2 linked regions of the Caenorhabditis elegans genome follow. The protein of the gene in region 1 interacts with the protein of each later gene in a pairwise test. Each region holds a gene or a part of one and is shown in the gene's direction. Other genes may lie near its edges.

Evidence for each region.
Region 2: the proteins of zyx-1 (region 1) and dyc-1 interact in a two-hybrid assay, tested with the Caenorhabditis elegans proteins (2 studies listed by BioGRID).

Annotation. Positions count from the first base shown.
Region 1 is NC_003280.10:13,053,879-13,061,638, forward strand, and holds the start of zyx-1 (Zyxin), read left to right. Parts: upstream 1-3,273; coding exon 3,274-3,318; intron 3,319-4,920; exon of another isoform or gene 4,921-4,941; intron 4,942-5,318; coding exon 5,319-5,603; intron 5,604-5,678; coding exon 5,679-5,762; intron 5,763-5,808; coding exon 5,809-6,149; intron 6,150-6,178; exon of another isoform or gene 6,179-6,627; intron 6,628-6,747; coding exon 6,748-7,024; intron 7,025-7,760. Other genes in the region: azyx-1 (Alternative N-terminal open reading frame of ZYX-1), read left to right, coding at 3,090-3,130, 3,217-3,318, 5,319-5,603, 5,679-5,751. UniProt on the Caenorhabditis elegans protein: Functions both as a mechanical stabilizer (via LIM domains) of focal adhesions, and as a sensor component for muscle cell damage (via N-terminus).
Region 2 is NC_003284.9:14,046,004-14,052,829, forward strand, and holds the start of dyc-1 (Dystrophin-like protein 1), read left to right. Parts: upstream 1-3,531; 5' UTR 3,532-3,668; intron 3,669-3,824; exon of another isoform or gene 3,825-3,845; intron 3,846-4,811; 5' UTR 4,812-4,824; coding exon 4,825-4,941; intron 4,942-5,161; coding exon 5,162-5,233; intron 5,234-5,769; coding exon 5,770-5,924; intron 5,925-5,969; coding exon 5,970-6,078; intron 6,079-6,826. UniProt on the Caenorhabditis elegans protein: Together with dys-1 and hlh-1, participates in a common muscular function.

The DNA of each region.
Region 1 (7,760 bases):
CCGGGAGGTTGTAGTAAGTAATGTACCCGTTATTTTGGGTAACTATTTTGTTATATCGTATGTCGTAGAATAATTTTTCAAAAAGGTTTTCACATTTTTTAAGAACATTTTTTGATCTACATACAGTCAAAGCCTGTAAATTTTCAACTGTCCAAAAATGGCAATGACTCAGTTTTTGCCACTCATAATTTTGGAAGTCGACCAAAAAAGAATGCTTTTCCTACATTTTTCATACTGTAATTTTGTTTTAATTATTTATATTAAAACATTGTAGAGGTGGAACGTGCGACATTGCTTTGGATTTCCTCAAAAGCTCATTTTTTCAAAATTTTGGCAATTTGCAAAAACTATATGAAAAATCTGAAATTTTTTTGGAGCGTTTTATTATGATATTCGGTTGTTTTGGATCATTATAAATGTATTCAGATAAAATACCCACTGGCGCTACTCCAAAAACTAAAAATTAAAAAAAAAAACCTGCCTAATAAAAAAAATACAGTTGCAATATTCAATCTTTATTAAATTTCGCTAATCTTAATTTTAATGTTTCTTTGGATTTTTTTGTCAAAAAAATATTGTTTCAAATTATATATTTCAATTATTCGGTTTGTGGAACTTTATTCATGCAACAACGCTCCAAATTTCTCAAAAAACTCAGCATTTTCAATTCTTTCAAGATTTTTAATTTAGTTCCGAAATTGACGAAATTTTGTTTCAACTTTTCAAATAATCTGGCAACGTTTTAGATTAGATTTTTTTATTTTTTTGAAAAATTTTCCCGCCTAAAACAATACCGAAAAATTTCGAAAAAAAAAACCACATTTTTCAAAATTGAAAATTGTAAATTAAAAAAAAAATACAAGATAAAATATCAATAATTGTACGATTTAAATTCTTAAATTTATTGTAAATTTTTAAATTTCAGAAAATAAAATTATTCAGCTTTTGCCACTCCTAATTTTGGAAATTTCCGTGTTTTGGAAAAATTGTTTTTTTTCTACGAAATCTTTTTATTGAATTTTGTTTTATTTACTCATATTCAAAATTTTTAGAAATTCAAACATGAAAAATTTCTCCAAATTTCTCAAAAAAAATTCCTACAATTTTTTGACAATTAGCTTTTTTTCCAAACCTTCACCATAACTATGACAGAATTCTTAAGGTTTATTTTTAAAAATTGATTTCTAGTTTTATTTTTAAATTTTTTATAAATATTTTTTCTTTCCATCCTAATTACATTTTTTTTTCTTACCTTTACAGCCATCTACCCCATATTTTCCAAATTTCCAAAACAAAAACACCATAAGCCACCTAAGAATCTAATCCCCTGCGAACTCCTGACAAAGTTCAAAGTTCTATGTGATTCACCTATTACCCTGTTTGCTTGCATAGAATTCCGGTTATTCTAGGCAGAAAGAGGAAGAGTTTCAGGCAGTTAAAATAAGTCGAAAAATACATAGACTCCTCTTTTCAATGTTTGTACACCAACTGTTTTTTGTTTCAATTTTTGTTTCTCACGAATTCCAGCCAAAAGTTTTTTTTCTTAAAATATTTTTTTTCTGTAGAAAAAAAAAAATATTAGGGAATGATCATGATTGCGCCCACGAAACCGCCCATAAAATTCCTGTGAAAAGAGAAGAAGAGAGGGTTGGGCACAACTATACCATCCATAAAACCACAGACTTTTTTTCGCGTCGGTTTTTTTCTTCTTTCCGCTCTTCCAATGTTTTATCGTTGTTTGCATGGCGTTCTGTGCTTCAAAGATGACAGTTTTTTTTGGGGTTGGAAGACTTTTTTGAATACAAAAATTCTTTGAAGTTAAAAACTTCAAAGTTCTCAAAATTTTAATTTTTTAGAATGGTCTAGAATCACATAAATCGAAGTTAATATTGGCTTTAAAATGGGAAAGATCGGCCACAAAACAATTAATTATAAAAAGGATGAAAAGGGGTCTTTTCATTAACTGTAAAAGGCTATTTTAAGATCATCTCTAGCAATAAAGAAAATATATGTTGATGGCCCAGTTTTCCCGTTTTTTTCTAGGCCAAGCCACAAATGACGGACAGTTTTGGGTTAGAAAGATTAAACTTCAATTTTCGTATAAAAAAAGTGCTCCAGAATAAAATTAGGCAAATTTCGGATTTGAAAAAAAAAATTCAAACCGAATGTGATGTCCTAGAACCCGACAAGGCCCACTTGAAAATATGACGTCACAAAAATATTCGTGGCCGAAAAAATAAGAAAACTCGGCTACGCTACAAACATTTTTTTTCTCGAATTGTATGTAGACGACACCTTATAGATTCAATCTGGAAAACTTTTTGAAAAATTTAATTGATGGCCGAGTTATCTGTTTTCTAGGCCACATCACAAATTTGTGCTTGATCTAAATCTGTGCTTTCAAATAGCAATTTAAAAAAAAAATCTGAAATATAAAACGATTAGGTTGAGCCGAAAGTCATGGCCTAGAACCCGAGAAAAATATACGTGGCCGCGAAAATGAGAAAACTCGGCCGCTAACACACATAGGGTAATTTCCTCGAACTCTAAATGATCTATTTAAGATCAAATTGCTAAAATATAAATAATGAGTTTTAGATTTTCTAGGCCACGCTGTGAACTCTAGGTTTTTGTATAATCTCCAACCATAACTTAAATATTGCCGGTCCCTCTCCCCTATAAATTATCAGCCACCAATTTCCTGTCTGCCACGTGGATTTCACACGAAATTTTTGATATCATCTTCCAATAGCAGATGTTGTTGCTTATCTCTTTTCCTCTTTGTTCATCGCTTATCCCTCGTTTTCGCTTTCCTTTTTTTGTAATCTCCCCCCCCCCCCTCCCATATCCTCTCTATTTTTCCTGCCATCAGTCGAATTTTGTGAGCCAAAGTGTAAAATGGGCTCCTGCCGGGATGAAGCGAGAGAGTCGTAAGGATGTGAAGAGACGCCGACGCGGTTCGCCCGGGGTTCCTGTGGCATGCAGCTCCTCGGGGTCCGTCGGAGCCCCCAAGACTCTAAACATACTAAACACCACACCGAGGCGCGCTCTCCAGACATTCTCTATCCATCCAGGTCGCACATCCTAATATGAGTTACCTCTCACCACTTCCTCATTATCCTAGTCAAAGGTATCGTTTTTTTTTCATTTCTTCATGTTTTTGTTGTGTTAAATTGTTTGCTCTGTGTCCTGACCTCCAACATATGTGTCTTTCAGCTTGGGTCGTGCTCGCTCCTTCAGCACTATTCCAGACTCGGCATCCGCTACTGATCTATGGGACCCCCGCCTCCGCCTCCACCACCCCCTCTACTCCCATCCGTAAGTTGAACTGAAATTGCAAAAGAAAATTGGAAAATGTTCTGAAATTTTTTTAGGCCAAAAGTTTGAAAAAAAATCAATGGCGTGGGAGAGAGGTTTAAAAATTATGTATGTTATCCATTACGGTAGCTCGATAAAACCCCCAAAAGCTCAGGGATTGTCAGAATTTCTTATTTCGATTTGATCTTCAAAAAGTGCGGGAGTTGAGACGCAGACATCTCATCTGATTTCGCAGATCTTGCTGACGTCACAATTTTTCTGAAAAAATTCCCGAATTTTTTGTAGATCACAATTTTTCCGAACAAAAAATTCCCGCATTTTTTGTAGATCACAATTTTTCCGAACAAAAAATCCCGCATTTTTTGTAGATCACAATTTTTCCGAACAAAAAATTCCCGCATTTTTTGTAGATCACAATTTTTCCGAACAAAAAATTCCCGCATTTTTGTAGATCAAACTGTAATGAGACATCCTGACATCACGTGGAAATAGACATTTCAAAATTTAAAATCTTGGCTTTTTGGAGGCAGATGGGTTTAATTATCGTTAATTTATTTCTGAACTGCCGGCTCTTAGAGTCGTTCTGAATTCTATTTCACTTCCCACGCTCTAGACAATACCCTTTCTATTAATTCAAAGCACATTTTGCATATGAAGGTAAACGATTTGCATACGGTAATTTATGTGCTCCTTCTAGCACCCCTGGGCATTTAATTATTCTCATTAATCACTTGAAAAACCATAAATTATTGCTAACCATAATCGTAGTGGCAAATTTTTTTTATCCAGCGGAAATGAGGGTTTTTTCGAAAAATAAAGAAAAAAATGACAGAATACATCCCCAATATACCATACATAACAGTAAAAAAAATTATAAAATTTTTGTAAATTTTTTATGATTTTTTTAAAATTTTGCAAAAATAATAAAAAGGGCCGAATGAAATTTAAATTCCCGCGCAACTGAGTGACGTCATTTTCGACATACCGTATATCTTCTATTAATATGGCCTCCCTATTAGACTTGCACTCCCTATTAGTATTGCCCCTCGGAGACCTTCCGAAAATTAGTATTGCACTCCCTATTAGTCTTGCACTCTCTAATAGTCTTGCGTTAACTTTTTTGTATTGCAAACCCGTCTCGCTAATTTCAGGATTTCAACAACATTTTTGCCTATTTTGCAACAGTTTTCACATCATTTCTACGAGATTGAAGTTTTTGAAATTATATGAAAATCAAATTTTCAGAATTTTTACATATGATTCGAGCTTTTTCAGGAAAAAACTAGTAAGCTCAAAGTCAGAAAATGTTCTGAAAATTAGTATTGCACTCCCTAATAGTCTTGCACTCCCTATTAGTATTGCAAGCGGGAAGACCATCGAAAAATAGTATTGCAGCTATATTAATAGAAGAAATACGGTATTTGTGTTTTCCCGCTATATTAGTCTCCATTTTGGCCAATTTCAAAGTTTAATCCAATTTCAGAGTTTTGGCAATTTTCTTTGCAATTATATAGTTTTCTTTACGGAAAAATTTCTGAAAAATTGGAAAATTAAATATGTTTCAAATTATAAAATAAAGAAAAAAAATAAAGAAAAACCCAATTAGTTTGGGCGTGAATGAAAAATTAAAATTTTTTTTAAATTTTAAACAGTTATAATCGGTATATTAGGACAGTATTCTGTCATTTAAAGCAAAAAATCTACCGACCTTTAATTAAAAAAATTGTTTTCCTCAAATTTGGCAGATTTGGTTAGTTTGAAAAATTTTACAACTTTGAGAGCCTATAACTCAGTTGTCGTTTGCTCTACTCAAAAATTGTCAACTGTCAAAATGTTTTTTAGTTCTTTTTCTACATTTTTTAGTTTGACAATTATTGGTATCTTGAAAAAGAACCAAGATATAGCGTTTCAAAGTAATGTAGTCGGGTGAAACTAAAATATGAAATGTGATATGATCTTATATAACTATTTACTTCCAAAAGTAAGAAATTAACTTCTAGGGAGAGATACTACCATCTCGCAAATGGAAGACAGAGGATGCACCACGACGTAACAACCATCCCGCACCTGCGCCGCCCAAGCCGTCCCGTCCCACAGTGGACGCTTCGGCACTACAGCACGCCGCAGCACGTCTGCGTAAGACCGGCTACAACGAACCGGTTCGAGGTGACGTCGAGAATCTATCCGATGGACGATTGGACCGACCGCATCAACAATTGCCTGACGGAGATCGGACGTATCGCGCGAACCTCCAACAATTGGCTCAGCCGAAAACCAGAGCAGAGGTGAGAGGGTTTTTAGAGAGGTTGCAGCCGACAACTCCCGGGCTGATGCGTCATTAAAATTCTGATAATTTTCAGATTCCTTCTCCGCCCACTTATTCCAACCAACCTCGTCCGCTCGGCGACTTTCATCGAGACCCCAATGCGTTAAGCCAATTCCAGGTACTACATTCCATCGGTCCTCATAAAAAAATCAAAAACTTTCCAGCAATCCCGAGAGGCTCTTCTATCAAGTACTTCCCCAACTTCAAACTATAGCCCAATCAATAAATTCTCATCATCCACTCTAACTCAATACGCAAACAAGTCCCCGTCGCCTCCATCATTTGGTAATAGTAATAGTGAGGCAACTTATGTGTCTCCATATTCTTCTAAACACTCATATCCTACAAACTTCCGAAGCTATCACAAGGACGACGATTATTTTAATAACACGGCAACTACGGCAACCACCACAACATCAAGCAATAGCTTAAACGAGAACAATAATTCGAATAAATATGGCAATAAGGAGACGGTTCTTCAGTGGTCGGAGCCCTACGATCCAAGGTAATTATTTTTTAGTTGTTGGAAAATTAACACTTTATGGTTAGCGCCCGACATTTTATGTATAGCGGCCGACACCTCATAGGTACCAGCCGACACCTCACAGGTATTTGGCCAAGAGGCTGACATTTAACGGGTATCTTTTGACAACTTGTGAGATGCGCTCGACACCTTACAGTTAGCGGCCGACACCTCGTGAGTTGCGGCTAGCATTGCATGTACAGCGACCGAATGGTTCTTAGGCCAATATCTGTGTGTTGGCCGACTGGGTTTTAGTCTACCTCGATTGAGTAATAGCCGACACTTCACTGGCATTGTTTGAAGCCTTATGAGAAGCAGCCGACATCTTGCGGGTAGCGGCTGATATTTTATAGATACAGACTGAATTCCATAGGATGTGCCAGAACCTAATAGGTAACACTACCTAATGGGTAGCAGCCGACAACTCACGGGATTTTTCAGCCAAATATCTTATTACACACTTTAACAGTGGCGACCGATGCCTTATTGACAGCAGCCGGCCCCTCACGGGATTTCAGCCACTGCTTTATATTTAGCGGCTGACAGGGGTGGAAGCCATCCTAATTCTTCGAATTTTCAGTAAAATCCGCCGCTCACAGTCCCCAATCCGCAACGCTCGAGAAATGATCCACGAGTACTCGACAACGAACTACGTCACAGAAGTCCAGCAACCACCTCCACCACCACCAGATCTTTATCAACGAATGACTCAAGCAAGAACTTTCCTCCAGAATTCCCTGGCAAAGCAGCTACGCGACGAGGGGCTCACCGAGTCACAAAAAGCCGCGAACCGTAATCAGACAGGTGCTCTGAGCGCGTCTTCTTCGATTCCCTTCGATGCGTCGCAAATTGTCAAGGTTAGTTGTCATCGTCGTAGTTTTGTGTTCTCATTGTTAGTTCCAAAAGAAGAAGCATCTAGAGTGGATAGACTCTTCAATCAAATCGAGATAAGTCCATGTCCATTCAATTCAGAAGGGGGGAAAGAAGTGGAGAGGATGGGGAGACAAAAACGGGAGGCCTTGATTGATGAGAGCGTTTATTTGTGTGCTCTGCTTCTAGTGAAAGAGATTTGTTTAGTTTAAGCGAATGATCAATGATTACTGAAAATTTAAGAACCTTTGAAACCTTAAAAAATGGATTTGAAGAATTCGATTATCTTTCAACTGTTGAAAACCCAAAATAGATTTCCACGGGCGGCCAGATAAAAAATACCAACTGGAAAAATGTTGAAACCCCTAAAGCCAGAAAAAGCGTCTAAAAATTATCGAAAATGGATCTCGCAAGACAGATTTGAAAATTGAAAATTTGAATTTTCAGCTGTGAATCCGAGTTATAAGCTTTCAATTTTGCCGCAGGTTTTTGGTTTCTGTGAGGTCACTGCTTTTTTGAATCCAAGGGAACTTGATTTACGAGCATATCCTATTGGTTCCACCGTTTTGCCGGATTGGGTGGAGCTTTTTGGGCTTTTTTTTTAGTTTTCAGGGAAAATACATATTCTGTTTTGATTTTGAGTCACTATAAAACTTTCAATAATAATTTCTTTAAAACTCAACATTATGAACTGGTAGCTAAAGTTGCCTGCTGTCTTGAAAA
Region 2 (6,826 bases), on another chromosome or scaffold:
TTTAAATTTTAACTGAAAAATAATTAAGTTGAAATGTAGCAATAACCTCCGATAACTTTGAAATTCGAAAAAAAATATTTGCTTCAGTTTAGAAAATTTCCATTTAAGCACTGTGCGCTGTAAAAATTGAAATTTCATCAGTTAACGAAAGCTTTTAAACAAACTGAAATTTGTATAAAAGGTTTAATAACATGAGTTCGAAAATTATTTTCAGAAAAATCATTTCTTGCAAGAAAAATCGTAGTTGGCTAAATTTCAATTTCTCCAAAGGACACCTTCAGTGCAAGTTTTATACACGAGGCGTTTTCAATTGAACTATCAACTTAAAAATTACAGCTTTTCGAATAAATTGTAGCAGCTTCCTAATATCCGTTCAGCCTAAAATAATTTTCAAAAAAACACAGATCCATGTTTTTTGGTTAACATCCATATTAGTACTGAACAATGTCAATTGCACATACGAAACGCGAGTCTTGACACTATTGTCTTTGTGAAAATTGAAAATGCTCATTTTCCTTCCTCTTTTTAACAATTTCTGTCTTTTGGTGCCAATCTTTCGAGAGTCACATGCCGTACATTCTGGAAATGAAATTTCGTATGGACTCTTGAACGTTTTTCAAGTAGCTAATCAACGACGTCTTCTTGTTTAGATTGTTATTCCTCTGTTTCCTTCTGTGCGCTTTTTCCTTCTTTTTTTTCTTGTCATCCAAATTTCGTTGTTCTCAGATTTTTTTTTCTGAAACTGGTTGAAATATGAAATTCTCGAAAAACAGGTTTTTTGAATAATATTCTTGAAACTGCGATAGTTGAATCAATTTGGAGCTCGGTCATTGTATTTCTTTATTTTAAAAAAGTTTAAAATGTATTTGTGCAGCATTTTATATTGTGAGCACGACAAAATACAATTTTTTTAACCCATATAATAAACGCCTAATTAAACACCACAATATTTATCAAAGAGTGATAATTTAATTAACATTGAGTTCCAGACGCTGCGACGCCGAGAAGTTGGGAAAAAAAATTAATTTTAGCTGAAAATGAGCTTTTTTTCCAGAATTTTCAATACGTCTCATTACAAAATTCGATAATTTTTGTGCAATTTTGGGTCTAAAAAATAAAAGCCTCAGATTTTGGTGCTTAACCTTCAATGTTTAATAAAATATAAATACCCTCAATATTTGATTCATTTAGATTGTAATAGGTATTTGCACAATTAACCGTTTTCTGAAAATTAAAATTCTGGTGTCAAACTGTAACATTTTTTTAAATATGATATATAACATTGACGCTGCAAAAACTGAAAACTAAAGGTCTATCCTGGCCTCATCGTATTATATGTACTTACAATGCAGGGCTAGACTATTTTGAATTTGGCTATCACAACTGGAACTCTTTCAGTATAAGTATAATTTTGTTATTTTTAAATTACACAACATGATCTTGGCCCAAATGTTTTTGAAGTTGATGGTTCCACATCTAATTCTGACAAACATTCCAATCCACAAAAGTTAATCCAAGAACTGCCGAAAAACATGCAACTCTGCTTCGTTTTCTATTCAGACGCCTTCCGAAGACACATTACATCAAAAATGTTGGCGGAAAAAGGCCAACGCAAGAAGACGAAGATGTGGTAGATAGAGTAAGATAGAGTAAGTTTTTGGAGCAAGGCTCCCGACAAAGTCAGTCACAATAAAAAAGAAGATGTGGAGGAATAGGATGAGGAGGAGCGGTGACTCCTCTCCATCACTCCAACAAATCTAAACTCTTCTACTCGGCAATTCTATCAAAGAAGGAGATGCGCATAAGTCAATCAGCTACAAGTGCACCCATACATGCACACGCATGCTTCCTAAAATCACAACTAATTGCGCAAGACAAGACGATGAGAGAGTACGGCACACACGCAACCGCTTCTTCGTTTTCTTTTCCCCGCCGACCGCTTTTCTCTTTTTGCCCCTGTTTTGTCCTCCATTTTCCGATTTTTTTTTCTATTTTCAAATCGATTAGGAACTGAGTGATAGTGTGGATAATTGCTTCCAATGTCGCAGAAGAACGGGTGATGAGACGATATATAAAGAGCAAAACTTGCATGCTTTCATCTTGATTTTTGTTGCGTTTCTTTCAAATTTCTAGAATATAACTTCGTATATTTGCTCTAGTGCATTATGCTACTGCCAATATCTAAAAAAAAGTATGGTTTCCTTTTTTTTGAAATTTGTTTCCCAATCGCAAACTATGTGTAATTTTTTAATTCATATAGTTTTCCTAAATAGTGAAGCTTTTTTTTTGTTTTTATCATGTTTCACATTGACATCAACATGTAAATAAATACAGTTTTTCAGTATACGAAACCACGTAAAATAATTAACACCACATTTTTTGTCACAATGTTGGAAATTCAACTGACATTAATTTTTTTTTGAATTATTTTTAGATGCATTGCGATAATGGTTTGGTATGCCATTCTACTTGTACCAATCCGAAATGTTTGATATTGCACTAATTTTCCTTGTATCATTGCTTTTGTAGTGAATACTATCAGCTTTTTTCAACTAATCAATCAGAGAAACGAGTTTATAAGAGTTGTGTCACTTGGTGTCAGAGTGTCCCATTTTGGTTTGATCTACGTAGATCTACGGAATGTGCGGGGATCTAGACGCAGACTTCTCGACAGATTTTTTTGGCATTTTTGAAGGTGTGCTGACGTCGCCTTTTTTGTAAATCAAATCGTAATGAGACCGCTTGCCATCACGTGCTGTGTTAGTAATAATGGTAATTTTAAAAATTCATATGAAAGCATGGAACTACTTGAAAAATACAGTAACACAAGTTTTGTATTGTATAATATATATAACATTACATTTATTCATTTCAAATCCATGAAAGTAGAAATATCTTTCCCCCGCACTGACAATCATATTTGTAGCCGTTTTGTAGGCGCCCCTCCTCTTTTTTTGCGTTTTTATTTTATTTTTTTCTCTCAACACATCTTCAATCTTTATATTCCTATTTGAAAACGTCTCCAGGGAACCTCGCTCATCGGTCTCCCAACCAACCAATTTCCAGTTTTGTTCGGCTCGCAACTTCTTCTATTTCTTCTGTCCCCCCCCCCCCCCCCCCCCCCATCATCCTAAACTTCTTTCCCTCCTTCTTAACATCGGCTTCCGTTTTCCTCCTGTTTCCATTCTCATATTCAATTTGCGGACGGACTTTTGGTCAGTCCACTTTCCTTAAAAGTCCTTTTAGCTACACTACCTACACTTTTCTCTGCATTTGCTCTTTTGTTCAATACTCCCTTATCCGTTTTTCCTCCAGGAAAATGATCAGAAGCAAAAATATTTGGTTTTAGTGTTTAAAATTGCGTTGCCGCATGAGTTATTCATTTCTTCTTTCATTTCCTCTCTCCCCCATCTACTTGGCCCATTGTTCCTCATCATTTCTCATCATCACTCAATTATTTTTCCTCGTTTGCTCTTTTTTCATAGTGTGCCCTTTTTGTCATTTTTAGCAGCTTAATCACTGAGTTTTCAGCGAACCTCACCTCTTCACCCAACGTTTTCCAACGTCACCACCAGTTTCAATACGATATCCAAATTGTCCTGATATCGGACAATTGCTTCGTAGTATACTGGCTCATGGTAGCTGATATACTCGATATGCAGTTGAAGGTTTGATACGGTTTTGAGTGAGCGTTTTTTTTCAGAAATGTTTAACAAGTGTTTATTGTCCATTTAGAAACGGAGTAGCATCAGTAGGAAAGTTGTTTAGGGGCTGAAAAGTCAGAATATGAAACTAACAATTTTCTTCAAAGTGCACAAAAAATCTTTGTTAATTTACAGTTGAAAGCATAGTAATTTTTAAAATGAATTTCTAATAGTGTACCTAAAACATGGACTAAAATATCAATACATTCGGAAAATTGTTGAAAATGTTATCTCTTTTTCTGCTGATTTTCAGCATAAATAACATTCTGGCACTACTTCAACTTTTGTTATTTTTCCACCTAGGGCTGGCCATCTGGACGTCCGCCCACATGGAGTCACCATGGGTGGCAAAATAAGGTGGAAATTTTTTTTATCACAGGAATTAGGGGAGCTTACATCCTGACATTTTCTGGGTTCCGCTGCTTACTATAGAAACGCACGCATTATCACAATGAGACGCGGAACACAAAAAAATGTCGGGATATACGCTCCCATAAATCCACGAATGTTCAAAACCGAACGCCCGATTGTCCGAAAATCAGTACATTCGGAAAGGCCAGTCCTCTGGATTACCAGCCCTATCTTAACCTAACAAAAAATTGGTTTTGAAACCTCATGGCCTTTTCTGCGTGAAAATAGTTTTAAAGTCCAAATTTTCTTTCTGATAAAATGTTGTCTTGCGTAGTATCATGTAAATATTTTAATTTTCATTATTTTCATCTGCACGAAAACATTTCGGTCAAGTAGAAAGTGCAAAAAAGATGTATTATTACGGAAACGCAATCCAGTAATATTATTAATAAAAAACATTTACAAACCAGAGGCTCTGTACTTTATTAAAATTGACATTCATTCAGTTTTTTTAAACATGTTATGTTTATAACAAGGAATTTGTAATCGACATACGTCCTCCCGTACTAACAGCGATTTGCCGAGTGTCTAATACCACTTTGTTTTTGATTATTGTTTAAAATTCACTTTCTTCAAAACACCCATGTTTTTTATTGCTGAAACCATCTAACATCTTGTTTTACTTCTCTAACCGTTTTTCTTTAATACTTTTTTACTAACATTTCCACCATTTCATCATTATTTCATATTTTACAGAGGTGAGGATATAATGCCTGTGCGGAAAAAGCATGGTCCGTACGATATCATCGCCGACGATGTCTACGACTGCCGTATTCCACTCCATAACGAACTCGCTTATCAGCATGGTATTCATTTCGAAGCAAAGGTTTGTGAAAAGATGTATTCGAATGTTTGTACAACGCTAATCTTGTTTAAACGAACATTGAATATTCTGAAAAGCCCGGAGGGTGTAGATTAGATTGTCTTCAAGTTTGGTCCTAACGCGTTTGCAAATTTAATCATAGTGGGAAGTTTAGTTTTTTTTTTCTTTCAAAAAGAAAACAAAAACAAAACTACTGGATTTAATCCAAAAAGGGTTTTTGCAGTATGTCGGAAGCATGGAAATTCCTAGACCCGGGACGAGAATCGAGATTGTGGCGGCGATGCGACGAGTTCGAGTGAGTTTTTTTTATAAAAACTCGCAAATAGAGATATATTCAAAATGAGCTGAAATTTGCAATTGAAAATTAGTAGTATAATCTAAAATTTGTATAATTACATGGTTGCAACATTATTATTAGTAGTGTAGAAAATAGAATCGTAATACTTTGAAAGATCATAATTTATTGAATTTTTTACAAATTCTACACTTGCTAGTGTTTTCTTCTCTACAATTTTTTCGTTTGTTAAATCAATCAATATTAAAGTCAGTAAATGCTAGGCGTTGATTGAATAATCTGCCACACTGCAAAAAAGCTGATACTTTTTTACCTAAAACCTATAGTCGTATCTAAAACTTTTTTTGTTGATTAAGGAAACATAAGCAATCAATATTTGAACAAGCATATCATCGATGTGAATTTGAATTTGACCGTGTCATATTTGTTGATTTTGACTGACTTTTTCTTAAACAACCAAATTGAAGTGTTTGAAGAAAACGCTTTTGAAAATCTATTTTCCTAATTCCTTGATTATTGAATAAAACCATTTTCAGTACGAATTCAAAGCTCGTGGTATCAAAAAACGCCCGGTCGACATTACCGTATCCGTCGATGGTGTCAAAGTTGTTCTTCAGCGGAAGAAACAGAAAGAGAAAGGTCTCTCTTGGGATGAATCTAAATTACTTGTCATGTTTCACCCAATATACAGGTATTGTTAAATTTCTGTAAAATTGTTATTGTAAAAATTTTGAAGGATATTCTACGTGTCACATGATTCTCAAGATCTTCAAATATTTTCCTACATTGCACGGGATGGAGCTAGTAACACATTTAAATGCAATGTATTTAAGTGTTCTAAAAAGGTTAGTCATTATTTTCAATATTATTATTATTATTATTGAAGTAGTACTGTGATCAAATTTTTTTTTAGAAAGAGCGTCGAAAAAGTTAAAATGTTGAATTTTTTGTATATGGTGAAACTATCGAATTTGAAAATTTATGTGGTTTTCAATTAAGTATGTATTACATGAATTTTTTTTGAATAATATTTATAGAAATGAATACCGATGTTTAATCACTATACAATTTCCCAACGCGTTGTTAATCAGTTCCCACAGGTGTTACATTTCCGAAACTTCCCATTTTCGAGAAGTGGCGGAAAAACTGATTTTGTTCACAATTTAGAATATTATCCGACTCAAAAATTTTTTTTTCATATTGGCGATACTACTCTTGTAATTCTGTAAATGCCCCTCAATTTGAAAAATTGAATTGTCTACACACTTGTCCACACTACCCAAACATTTTTCTACTATCAAGAAAATGCAATTTTCATTTAAAAAACTACAGACCTTGCTGAAGATTTCGTGATTTAAGATGATAATAAGCTCTAAGACTCATTCAAATTTTTTGTGGCAATAAGTATTTTTCAAACGTTTTGAACAAAAATTATCGAAGAAAGAACAAATGATAATCAGAATTACCATGCAATCCTAAGTATTTTCACAGATTATACTTCATTTGAAAGCAAGAAAATAAAATGTATGGATCAAAAAAGCAATATTTTGGCTTAAAAAAAAGAACAAAAATCAATAACATTGTTTTCTGCCA